Drosophila melanogaster: one gene and its partner. Changing the gene in region 1 together with any one later gene gives a genetic interaction. Each region holds a gene or a part of one and is shown in the gene's direction. Other genes may lie near its edges.

Evidence for each region.
Region 2: of mrj (region 1) and Hrb98DE, changing one suppresses a phenotype caused by changing the other (phenotypic suppression), as found in Drosophila melanogaster (one study listed by BioGRID).

What each region holds. Positions count from the first base shown.
Region 1 is NT_033778.4:16,218,680-16,223,886, reverse strand, and holds the start of mrj (mrj), read left to right. Parts: upstream 1-2,093; 5' UTR 2,094-2,217; exon of another isoform or gene 2,218-2,251; intron 2,252-2,737; 5' UTR 2,738-2,764; intron 2,765-3,763; exon of another isoform or gene 3,764-3,835; intron 3,836-4,177; exon of another isoform or gene 4,178-4,249; intron 4,250-4,441; exon of another isoform or gene 4,442-4,513; intron 4,514-5,207. Other genes in the region: CG15706 (uncharacterized protein), read left to right, coding at 1-590; CG7798 (uncharacterized protein), read left to right, coding at 1,260-1,706.
Region 2 is NT_033777.3:28,598,384-28,606,277, forward strand, and holds Hrb98DE (heterogeneous nuclear ribonucleoprotein at 98DE), read left to right. Parts: upstream 1-2,023; 5' UTR 2,024-2,134; coding exon 2,135-2,185; intron 2,186-2,322; coding exon 2,323-2,812; intron 2,813-3,145; exon of another isoform or gene 3,146-3,285; intron 3,286-3,314; exon of another isoform or gene 3,315-3,464; intron 3,465-3,493; exon of another isoform or gene 3,494-3,633; intron 3,634-3,763; exon of another isoform or gene 3,764-3,903; intron 3,904-3,956; exon of another isoform or gene 3,957-4,106; intron 4,107-4,172; exon of another isoform or gene 4,173-4,312; intron 4,313-4,388; coding exon 4,389-4,564; intron 4,565-4,628; coding exon 4,629-4,935; intron 4,936-4,987; exon of another isoform or gene 4,988-5,139; intron 5,140-5,224; coding exon 5,225-5,298; 3' UTR 5,299-5,315; intron 5,316-5,677; exon of another isoform or gene 5,678-6,712; intron 6,713-7,078; 3' UTR 7,079-7,394; downstream 7,395-7,894. Other genes in the region: Noa36, read right to left, coding at 1-254, 347-838; CG9986 (uncharacterized protein), read left to right, coding at 7,785-7,894. UniProt on the Drosophila melanogaster protein: This protein is a component of ribonucleosomes.

The sequences.
Region 1 (5,207 bases):
ACTTGGAGCAGGTGGCCGAGGCCACTGGTTACATGCATCAGATCAAGTTGATCGAAGGTCTAGTGGTGGCCGCCGAGTGTCTGGCCGGCGAGGTGCCCTTTTTCTTCTACAGCGGAAAGATTATCAAAAAACTGGGCTATGTTCATTGCATGAGCATGTGCTTTTTCTTCTACGCTGTGCGACTGTCGCTGATCGCCTGGATTCCCAATCCCTGGTATCTGGTGGGCGTGGAGCTCTTTTTCCAGGGCATTACCTATGCTCTGTGCTATACGTGCATTGTGGCCTACGCCTCGGCGGTGGCTCCTCCGGGAACATCGGCCACCGTTCAAGGATTGATGGCCGGCATGGACGATGGACTTGGCTTCTCCATCGGATCCCTAATCGGCGGACTTATGTTCAAAAGCCTGGGCGGACGAGAGAGCTTCAAATACTTTGCCATAGCCGCCATTTGCACATGCGTAGCACACATCGTTATACGTCCCACATCCAGGAAGAGGCAATTCCTGCCGAGACAGGGATATGTGCCGCCAACGGAACAGGAGATCAAGCAGCCGCCCGCTCAGGAAATGGAGGAGATTCGTTTGGGATAAACATAGTATCAACACATGCCATTTTTATTGCATATTTTTGTACTAATTTTTTACGTTAAACAAAAACAAAGAAAGAACGACAAGTTGTCCAAAAGTTGAATGACTTTGCTCTCTCGGGGTTTTTGTTCGATTGTTGGCGCACACGCGATCTCAAGTGCTCCGGCCCCTCCAGCTGTCAACATGGTTATATAATACCTGAGCATCGCACAAAAGAACCCATTGAAAGTGAATCTGGGGCCAGGCAGATGCCTCGCTTAAATGGCGAGCGATTCCCACTCCATATATTAACGAAACTGGCCCGATCGGCCTGTTTCAATGATCGAGAATTGAAAGTCTGACACTCATCTGCATGTTTGGGATTTAAGTTAAGTTAGAGAATTGTAGTTTTAGTTCTACACCCTAAAATAACCATATATCTACTGATTTCTCAGAGCAATAGCCTTTCCGAAATAGCTCCAACAAAATAAAAGAATTGGAGATGGTTATGACTTCCAATCTTTGTCGCCTAGTGTTGATAATTTATGCTCGAGTGTGGGCCACACTTCAGAGCTGTCCAAATGAGTGCTTGTAAAAATTAGATTGGGCCAAGTTGTGCTCCGAATCTCGCAGCAAACTGGATGGCTATATAAGCCACGAGTTACCATTAGAAGCCTGCATTGTTTCTGGAAGATGTGGCCCATTTGGCTGCTGGTGCTCTTAACGCTATCACTGGCCACTGGCCGCCAGGTGGGCAGATGCAGTTTGGCCCGGCAGCTGTATCGATACGGAATGGCTTACAACGAGCTACCCGATTGGCTGTGCCTCGTGGAGGGCGAGAGCTCGTTCAACACAAAAGCCATCAATCCCTCGAACGTTGATGGATCCGTGGACTGGGGTCTCTTCCAGATCAACGATCGTTACTGGTGCAAGCCGGCGGATGGTCGTCCATCCAACGATCTGTGTCGCTTGCCCTGCCGCCTGCTGTTGAGCGACGATATCCGGTATTCCATTGCCTGTGCGAAGTACATCAGGAAACAGCAAGGATTCTCCGCCTGGGTGGCTTGGAACAATCGATGTCAGGGTGTCAAGCCCAATGTGAATCACTGCTTCCGGCGGCGACACAGAAATTCGGGTTGAGCATCGGTAAAAAGCTAAAAAAAATACGAAACTTAAGAACCTAAATGCAGAATAAAATATTATAATATTAAAGAGCAATATATTTTATGAGTATGAGCATTAAAAGAGCGAACAATTGTGGTGCGATATATCATCTGGTAAACAAGAATAGAAAAAACTGGTCTATACCTTTTTACCTTCAATTTATATTCAAAACTAACCGCCAAGCTAATAAAATTAAATATAATGTAAAATGTAAGTCAACATGTAGAAAACATGTCCAAAGGGATGTAGCTAAACACGTTATCTTACCGATGACATTTTTGAATTTCGGCTCGGAACCAGTTCGATTGGCAGAGCTAGTTGCTCCCCTCCCTGGGTCAAATCGATAGCCAGGCGACTGATAGTTGTCGCTGCGTTTTATCGCTTAAGTAAAACAGCTGTGGGAAAAGCGCGCTTGGCCAAAAGCAAAGTGGCGGTTGAATAATTTGTTTCTCGACCAACGAGCGCACGGATGCGTGCAGACTGACGGGTAATAAAGTGCAGTTAAATACTAAATTCAAAGTACTAAATACTGCTAAAGAAAACCAAAAATAGCGAAGCAGTAGATAAAAATACAAAAAGTGAAGTTGACATTGAAGTCGCTTCGTATGTGTGTGTGTGTGAGTGCTTAAAACTTGTGCTGGTGTGCGAAATTCTTTTGTGCTCCGTTTTGTTGTGCATTAAATAATCTCGATATAAGCTGAAAACCGAGTTTCAAATGCAAACGGCACGCTTCGTGTTCGAATAGTTGTTTTGTAAAAAATCAATAAAGCGCCGTAATTGTCGCCGTTCTGTAGTTGTTGTTGCTGCTGCTTGCTGCGACAGGAGTTTCCGCCAACAACTCGCGTCGTTCTCGCTCTCACCAACAGCTCTCTCTCTCTCTCTTTCCCCACGCGGCGTTGCTTATCTTATTTGCTCACACTTATTTCTTGTTTTACTATATCTCATGTTGGATTCGCATTTGTTAGATACTTCTAATGAAATTAATTGTTCGCTTGTTTTTCGGTTAGGCACCAAAGGAAAGAGATCATTTCCAGGTAAGCAACCAAAGCAAAAGAATAAGCGTAATACCAAATAATAAACAATCTAAGCACCGAGCGCAAACAGAGAAATGCGGAATTTAACAAGTTCAATAATCGAAAGTGCCTCTATTGTGCTCTCTGTTACACGCACGCACGCGGACGTATGCTAATTACAACGGTTCATTGCTCTGCTCATCGAGATTTTGACATATTGTTGCTGTCCCCCTTTGACATGTGGCGGCGTGTTTCCTCAAAAGATACTGCAGCTGCCTCTGCGATACCGTTAAACCCGTTTCTGACTCAAAATGCCAATTGTTTTTCGTTAACGCTTACTTTAATTTGCCTTTTTTGGCCAACTCGCAATTTGCCTGTCCCGCAGCTCTCTCAAATTTGTTGCAATTAAAAATTGATTTTCCGTTTGCCAAGTCAGCTTGTAAATAACAACAATAACAGCCAAAAATTGGTTACTGCAACAATGAAAAAGCAATTTTCCGTATCTACTACAAAAAAAAGAAACTAAAAAAAACGTTCAAAACTCAGTCAAGGCATTGTGCCCGTTTTATTGTTGCTGCTATTCGCTTGCCACACGTTTTGCGGCAGGCTATTGTCGTTGTTGCTGTTGCTTCCAGTACATGTTGCAATTCTGGGCATGCCTAATTTTCGGTTTAACAAAAGTTAAGTACTCTGGCTCTTTGAGCTTTTGCCCGTCGTTAACAAAACCGTTTTCCCTCCTTTTTCTTTTCTCTTATTTCTTTCTACATAAGCACAAACATCAACAATTGACAACTTGGGGCAACGAAAAGCAACGGCCATAAAAAAGTCTCGAATTATTTCGTAGCGTGTCCGATTGGCATCAATTGGTGGCGCTAGGCAATTGCAAAGAAATAAAGCACACTAGAAAAGCAAAAACAAACATAAATACATACAATTACCGAAAGCAATAGACTTGAAGACTGCTCAATATATGTGGAAAATCAATTATCAATTATTTTAAGCAGTAAAAAAAAAGTACTCTTCCCATACCGGGAATCGAACCCGGGCCTTCTGGGTGAAAGCCAGATATCCTAGCCACTAGACCATATGGGAGGCTATCTGTGTTGTAGCAAAGACTCGTTTTGTTCGCCAACATGAATGAATGCCTTGTGTTTATTTGTTTATTTTGCTTAACCCAGGAAAAACTATTAATACAAGAAAATTAAGATATGGAATGAAAACATATACAGAGGTGGTCAAAAGTATTTGAACAACGAGCTTTTTTTTTCAATTGTCAACTAATAACCATTGTCAACTAATTGAAAAAAAAAGCTCGTTGTGGAAATACTTTTGACCACCTCTGTATAATGGTCAGTCAACCCCTTTAACAAAGCCCAAAATTATTAACCCTCTGATGGTAACAAATAAAAAAAAAGCGAAATTAGGCAAAAAAGTTTCCCATACCGGGAATCGAACCCGGGCCTTCCGGGTGAGAGCCGGATATCCTAACCACTAGACAATATGGGACTTGTCTGGAAGGTGACTAAAGTGTGTCCTTAGTCTGCCTCTTAGGACATGTTTTAAAGTCACCACTGTATATTTTCTATTTATAAATTTAAAAATGAACAAGGCATAAAATTCCTTATAAAGTACGTGCACCATTTTTAACAAGGAAAAACTACAAAAACGTTTATATAACTTGGAAGAAAGTAGAACATATCCCATATGGTCTAGTGGCTAGGATATCTGGCTTTCACCCAGAAGGCCCGGGTTCGATTCCCGGTATGGGAAGTATTTTTATTTTATTTATAAGTAAATCAATTACCCTGCTTGAGAATCCCCATCAATCAAGCTCTTCCAGCCATTTCTCTCCCATAGCATCGCACAAAGGCATAAACTGGCTTGGACTTGAAAATCAGACAACAACTCCACTTATTGACCTGCACTTAGAGGCGGTGTAACACGAATCGTGGTTCAAGTGGTGTTTTAATGAGTCTCAGCTGGGTATGATCCGGCTCAACGAACTTCCTCGCTCCCTGCCAACCACTTCCATCATAAGCTGCAGCTGCAACTCAATTTTCCAAGCCCCGACACTCGATGGAAAAAAAACGGCTAATTCATCAAAAGTGTGGCAAAGCCGAGAGCCAAAAAACAGTGAGCCATTGTTGTTGCCCATCACGCCCACTTTTCGCTGGGGCTCGATCCATTTGATGCATGCTGGCAGTCGCTTGCCACTTTCCAAGTCAATTGAAAAACTCGTGTAGCTTTTTATATGCCATCATCTTGAACGAGCTTATGTATCGTATCCAGACATTAGAAGCGCGTGTGAGACATACGATTGAGCAAGAAGCGGAGAAAAAGGCAAAGCGTACAAATTGCCATTTTTTATAGTTTCTAAGTGAGTTTGTATATTTTTTCCCTCAAAGAAAGCCAAGCCCCGACAATCGATGGCAGCGCATGAGAGAAGCAACAAAAAAGACGGTAA
Region 2 (7,894 bases), on another chromosome or scaffold:
CCGTATCCCTCCTCGTCGTCGCTGTTGCCTCCTTGTTGCTGTCGCCCGAATTTGTGCGACCGCGTGGACATGCTGAGGTCCTTGGTCACCGAGGTATCGTAGTTGCACTTGGGGCATGGAATTGGCTTGTTCTTGTCGTACTTGAAGCCCTTGCGACGCACGTGATCCTCGCAGTAACAGGTCTTGCAGCGCAGGCAGGAGTATTGACCCAGCTTGTTGCACGATTGACACTTGTAGTTCTCCGACTCCAGCACCTGGAACCGAATGGATTGCATTACCAAAAGGCGTCATATGAATCTCAAAATGAAGTTCGGAACAAGCTTAATGAGTATTTTTGGTTACCCACCTGACAGCTGGCCTGGTGCTCGAACTGATCGTCCTCGCACAGGAATCCGTTGCAGAAGGAGCACTTGAAGATGCGCCCACCGTGCTCCCAGACACCGCGTTCGCACTCCAGGCAGGTCGCATTCTGCAGCGGACACGTGCAGGCGTGGTTTTGGAGACACTTGCGTCCGTGGCAAACCCAAGCCTCGCAGAAGTCGCAGATGGCGCCCACCATTCCGAGGCCCGTGGTGTAGACGCCCGGATGTTTGACCACGCAGTCGCCGGTCTTTAGCATGCACTTGATTTTCCCGCACTGGGCGCAAATGGGTAATCTCTGAATGCTCTGGCAGAAATAGCAGAAGGCTCTCGACTTCTGCTTCTTCTCGCACTTGTCGCACTCCATTGGTGCATTGCAGGGCAAATCCGCAAGAGGCACCTCTCTGCTGCGGATCTCCTTGAGGCGAAGCTTCTGCTTCTCGGCCTTCTTACGCTGCCCAGTCTTCTTTTTCGGCATTTTTGAAATCAAGGAATTAGAAAACTTATTTCCTTACGTGTGCGGCAGTGTGGCTGCTGCGGGTGCGCCGAAAAATACCACAAAAAGCTTTCGAATATTCCGCTAAATATGTAGCTACATCTTGAAAATAGCTACAAAAAATGCGTTAAATTAGCATCGTGGAGTTAGCGGCGACGGCGGAGCCGAGTAATTTAACACATCATTTTTCTGGCCAGCGTGCATTTTGGAATATGCTCTGCGAGTGGAGATATTCCTTGAAAAGTAGCTAGCCGATTTTTTTATTGCATATTTTATATACTTTCTGAGTCCTATAAACTTTAGTCGTACATAGATAGTTAGATCTCTTAAATAGTTCGATTTATTAAGATTTTTGCATTTGTATTTTTTTTGGAATTTACCTATAAATAGCGAAAAATTAAATAAATAAATAAGATTCTCATTTTCCATATTTCACCGTTCTGCCATAGACGCTAATTTGACCCACATAGATTTTCAGTGGAAACAAGTGGAAGCAACAACCGATTAGTGTAACCAAATACCTTTGCTTTTATTTAGGTCTAGTATTTTTGTAAGGTCTGTCTACGGCTTTCCTTTCCACAGGAAAATATATTTTCAGTTTTAGGGAAGGGGTGCTACAGTGAGCGTCTTTCGTTCCCAGTGTCGTTATTTCTATAGTATTGCTGAGATATATATCAGAGCAGTAAAGATATTTAAATATAAGTTCTTCGAAATGGGTGGTCACGACAACTGGAACAATGGTCAAAATGAGGAGCAAGATGTAAGTAGCACACAAAACCGCGACTGCACAGGGAAAAAACTCAGTTCGGCCATAATCCCAATATATATATATTTTGGTGATCAACGCGCTTTTACCCATGCGGCAACTAAAGTTGATGTGCTAAAGCATTTCGTTGCGGTTTTGTTACTTAAGACTAAGACTAACAGTAGTTGTATCTTAATAGTGCTAGGGAGTACGATGCTGTCGGTATTGGTTTCTCTTTTAGCTTTTTAGTGCAAAAGGCGTGATCAAGAATACACATGTTACACACATTTTTTAAGGCATGGTGAAAAGAAACAGGGCAGATATTGTAAAAGTATTGTATTGACAAGGGTGTCTGTCAACTTATCGTTATCGTTCTAGGTAGTATCGAATAGGTGCTGGGTTTAATCGGGTTGTAGAAACGGTCACACTGTATTCAGTTTTTTCATTCGTCTCGTGTGTCAGGGGACTTTCTCCATTTGCAATAGCAAAAAAAATAGTTAGATTAGAAGTTGTTCAACTTTTGCATTAGTAAAATGGTGAACTCGAACCAGAACCAGAACGGCAACTCCAATGGCCATGATGATGTAAGTAGTGGATATTAAGGGTCTAGAAATTTCCTGTAAGCTGGTGTCTCGCCTTGCCGGTCGCCATTTTGAAAATTACGCATGTGTCTCAAGGGCGGAAAGTGAGGTTATGGCCATTGATAAAATCAATAATTTAGGACTTTCCTCAGGACTCCATCACCGAGCCGGAGCATATGCGCAAGCTGTTCATCGGTGGCTTGGACTACCGTACCACCGACGAGAACCTAAAGGCTCACTTCGAGAAATGGGGCAACATCGTGGACGTGGTGGTCATGAAGGATCCGCGCACAAAGCGTTCCCGCGGATTCGGATTCATCACCTATTCCCACTCGAGCATGATTGATGAGGCCCAAAAGTCGCGTCCCCACAAGATCGACGGTCGAGTGGTGGAGCCCAAGCGCGCCGTTCCCCGTCAGGACATTGATTCCCCGAATGCCGGAGCCACCGTAAAGAAACTCTTTGTTGGCGCCCTCAAGGACGACCATGATGAGCAGAGCATCCGCGACTACTTCCAGCACTTTGGCAACATCGTCGACATCAACATAGTCATTGACAAGGAGACTGGCAAGAAACGCGGATTCGCCTTCGTCGAGTTCGACGACTACGATCCCGTGGACAAAGTTGTGTGTAAGTACAACGCTTTTCCTAATCTAGACAATATCAAATATCCTTTAAGAATGATTTATCTCTTCGAGAGTAGACTGTTAGGAAAATCACATTGCCATGTTCTTAGATTTATACAATACAGATTGAATTATCTGCACAGGAAACGAATATTAACCCCATTTGTGTACGCGGCGTTCGTGTAGAAAAAAAGTATGACATGCAACCACCCCTAATCTATATGCTCAATCAGCTCTGGCACATTGTAGGGCTTCTCGTAAATGTCCATCAGCGTCGGATAAACGAATGCGCACTATAAGCAAGAAATTTCGATAAAATTGCAATTATTACAATATATCCACAGTCCCAGCTCCGCATAGCAATGTTCGATGTGCTTGTGCGGCGTTTGTGACTGTAAGAATAAATTCCAGCCAGTATTATATCATTGTTGTTGGTGCTCTTCGTGCATCAACGATGAAAGAGTATATGGCACACTATAGCTTGAATCTAAAACTGTTTCCTAATATCACAGTACTGACAAATTAACTGGTTTGAAACCATCACCAGGGTAGTTTTTTTTTAAACGCTGTGAGATGAATTAAAGCGTCGGCTAAGCTATGTTATGCGAATGTAAGCATTGCGCCTATTCAGTGTAACACGCAGCCTCGTTACAATAGTTCAATTAATTGCTATTATGGAAATCGATACACAGTCCCAGCTCCGCATAGCAATGTTCGATGTGCTCATGCGGCGTTTGTGACTGTAAGATAAAAGACCCAGCCCATATTATATCGTGTTGTTGGCGCTGTTCGTGCATCAACGATGAAAGAGTATAAGGCACAATATCACATTGAATTACCAACTATATGAAAAGAATGAGTATCTAAATGCCTTCGCTTACTTGAATATACTGACAAATCCACAGAATGGTGAATGTTATTTAGCGTGAATATATCTCCTAAAATTAGCTACGATTCCACAGTCCCAGCTCCGCACAGCAATGTTCGATGTGCTCGTGCGGCGTTTGTGACTGTTAGAATAAATTCCAGCCAGTATTATATCATTGTTGTTGGTGCTCTTCGTGCATCAACGATGAAAGAGTATAAGGCACACCTTGATTATCGAACCGATTAAACAGAAAGTTTCTAGATCAGCCCCTTCGTGGACGTCACAGTACTGACAAATTGACGGGCTTGAAAAAGTCGCCTGTATGGTTTTTATTTAAACGCTGTGAGATTAATTTAAGCGTCGGCTAAGCTATGTGATGCGAATGTATATTATAAATCAATTCTGTGTAACACGCAGCCTCGTTACAACTGCAAATCAAATGCACCGAAATGGTGAATGTGTACTATCCGATATCGATCCTAATTTTAGCTAAAATTCCACAGTCCCAGCTCCGCATAGCAATGTTCGATGTGCTCGTGCGGCGTTTGTGACTGTAAGATGAAATCCCAGCCAGTATTATATTGTTGTTGTTGGTGGTGTTTGTGCACCAATGATGAAAGAGTATATGGCACACTATCCTCCGGATGCACCACATAGGGAAGTTCATTTTCGAATACCACTAATAGCATGCTTTCCCTCTTTATTTTTGCAGTGCAAAAGCAGCATCAGCTGAATGGCAAAATGGTGGACGTAAAGAAGGCCTTGCCCAAGCAGAATGACCAACAGGGAGGTGGCGGAGGACGCGGTGGTCCGGGTGGTCGTGCCGGTGGAAACCGCGGAAACATGGGCGGTGGAAACTACGGCAACCAGAATGGTGGCGGCAACTGGGTAAGAACTTATTGATCGCCATCAATTCGATTTGAGGCTTATTACTGGTTAATTGGCATTGCAGAACAACGGTGGCAACAACTGGGGCAACAACCGCGGGGGTAACGACAACTGGGGCAACAACAGCTTCGGTGGTGGCGGCGGCGGCGGTGGTGGTTATGGCGGTGGCAACAACAGCTGGGGCAATAACAATCCGTGGGACAATGGCAATGGAGGCGGCAACTTTGGAGGCGGCGGCAACAATTGGAACAATGGTGGCAATGATTTTGGAGGCTACCAGCAGAACTATGGCGGCGGTCCGCAGCGAGGTGGCGGCAACTTCAACAACAATCGCATGCAGCCCTACCAAGGAGGTGGTGGATTCAAAGCAGGTGAGCAACAGCACGTCTGTTGATGCATTACTGATAACAACTAGATAGCAAGACACAGTACCCTGACACCTAACTGTTAGAGCGTCGATAGAGTTTGGCAGTTAGCTTATTAAACGCTGTGAGATCAACTGACGATGGCCTTCGCTATGTTATGCGTATGTAAGATAATCCCAGTACGACGTAACACGCAGCCACGTTACAGTTTTTTCATGAACAGTCACCACCAGTATAGAAACTAGACTAGAAAGACGATTGGATATGTTCCTAACGATCCTGGGTTTTCTTTTAGGCGGTGGCAATCAAGGCAACTATGGCGGAAACAATCAGGGCTTCAATAACGGTGGCAACAACCGCAGATATTGAGAGAGATTCCGGACGAGGTGAGACATCCAAATAACCACTACTAACACAAAAATATACATAGTCCAAGGCGAATTCAGGCCATAACTAACCGCTTATCTATCCCGTATGACCATTAATCTTTCGCTTGATTTGACAAACATATGTTGTGTGTTTTTTTTTTTTTATAATAGCGCCCTTATCGGCATTTTTGGTAGTTTATAAAGCATATTGAGACTAAAAAGCAAAACGGCTGAGACAGTCCGACCCACCTTACTCAACAAACTTATATACGTATTTACACTTTTAAGTATTTAGAGAACAAAAACCCATCAACCAATTAAGAACTCCTTTTCATACCAATTGTTTTAAATAACGTTTCTCATTTATCGACATTTTATAGGTGATAAAGTAAAAGTCGCTCAGTATAATCCCAAAATTCAAAGTCAAGTAAACGATACGCAATTCAATGATCAATATGATGAAGTATGAACGCACGTTCATAGTCCTAAGAAGTTTTCCGAGCACCACAAACCAAACATTACAGATTGATTGATCAGGATCAGTGCAGTGCAGTGAAGTCGTAAGAAGTTTGGTTCAGTCTTGGATTAGAACAGAAAGAGAGATCAGTACCAAGCAAGACCAGACCAATACAGAGTGCAGTGCAGTGCAGAGCAGTGTGTGAGCTAAACAGAAGAAACACAGCAAGTGGCAGTACACGTACACAGAAGGTGACCAGGATTCCATTCAATTTGTCTTTGCAAGCGATGATAAATTGAATGTCAAGAGGCGCATCGAAAACTATCCAATACCCACAGAATTGTAATCTATAATTTGCAACCCATATGTAGCAGCCCATATAAGTAACATTGTAATTAGATCCACAAAGCCGACGACAGGCCAAACATTTGTATCTCCACCACACGAGCAACCAACCAACCAACCTACTTAAAACAACCAGTCATAAACGAATCAGCTATGTAAAACTTCAAGGCGGCAGCCGAGAGATATGTTTCTTTGGTTGCAGACAGCTCTCCAGTCCATCGGCTGCCGGCAACTTTTGATAATCAGAGCAGAAAACACAAAATATATAAAAACATGTATTACATTTTACAACTTTACTAGGCTAAGTTCTCATAGAATTAAATCGAGTAGAGCGTGCGGAGCGACTTCTGCATCCATCCGCACGCTACCCTAGTCTTAATAATTTTACTATTCAAGTTCTAAGCGAACCTGACCGTGTGTGGAGGAATCTAGATACTTAGATTTTTGAATAAGTGTCGACATGGATATAACCTCTTCCGCTGCTTAGATGTAACCGATCAACAAACAACCTTTATTGTAATTTATACCTTTTAGCAAGCAGTCTGTCTGAGGAGTCAGCGCAATTATACTTAACAAAATTTACATTTTAATGTAGCTAAAAAATACAAGATGCAAAAAAAAAAAATAAGCAAGTGTCCCGCAATTGATGTAAACTCTGACGAAAGAACAAAAAGTATATAGCTAAGCCAAAGCCTCGTAGTTTTCTATATTTCTGTAGCAGCATCAGCAAAAGGATCTCGATCAGAATGAGAGTGTATTGCAGAGGTAACAAGGTGCAGCAAGTCTGACCAGGTCCAAAAGCCAGCCAAGAATATGTACTTTACTATAGCATTTGTTGTGGGCGGGCCATTAACGTCGTTCGAGAGTTCTCCTTTCACTCGCTTAACAGGAATCATTTTCCCCTTTTATTTGATTTGCCCCCCGCCTGCTGTACCATGTCATTTACAACCATGTATATTATTGTAATTTCTGTTGCCAGTTGGCTGCGAAAAGTATGCGAAGCGCTGAAAGACTGCCGCCGCGCTACTGAATGCAGCCACGGAAGGTGCCCGCGTTTGCTAGCAACTCCGGTCGCTGGGTTTCGGTTCCCTCTGGGTAAGTAATCCTCCGCAGATCCCAAATCCGGAAAAAGTTGTAACTTTCAGGTGGTCTGAATCGGCTCGTCGCACCTGAGGATGGAATGGATGTTGAACGGTTTCCCCTCTGCACCATCGTAAATATACGACTTTTATTTATTACTTCATTTTATTTTCATTATTACTATCTTTGAATAAAGAAATTTCAGAATACCAAACAAAATGATTTTCGTTTCATTTTGAATTAAAATTTCACCAGTGGGGGAAAATAACGGTATTTGAACAATAATGGCGTTGCGAATGTAACGTGATTGGCGTAAAATCGCAAATTCCGTTTTATATAGTTGAATGATTTTCAAAGCATTCATTTTGTTGCATTTAATGTTAAATTTTAATTAGTCCACTGAAAATAATAAATCATGATAAATGAGCACTGTGTCTGTCACTTTGTTGTTGGTTTGAGTCTTCTCTAAGTGGTGAATAAGTTTTCTGCGATATATTTAAGCGGTCGCAATACGGTCATACTAATTGCATTTCTTTTAGGCAGGGGGCGTTAACTTGCGAATTAATGACTATAACTAACTAAAACACCGACTAAGGACCTCTGAAATGGACTCTACTGCCACTCGCACGCTGCCCTTTGTGTACAAGTATAAAAATCATAAAGGCCAAGACTGCGAATCCCGGCTGGACATCACTTTTCCCTTTGACCAGGAAAA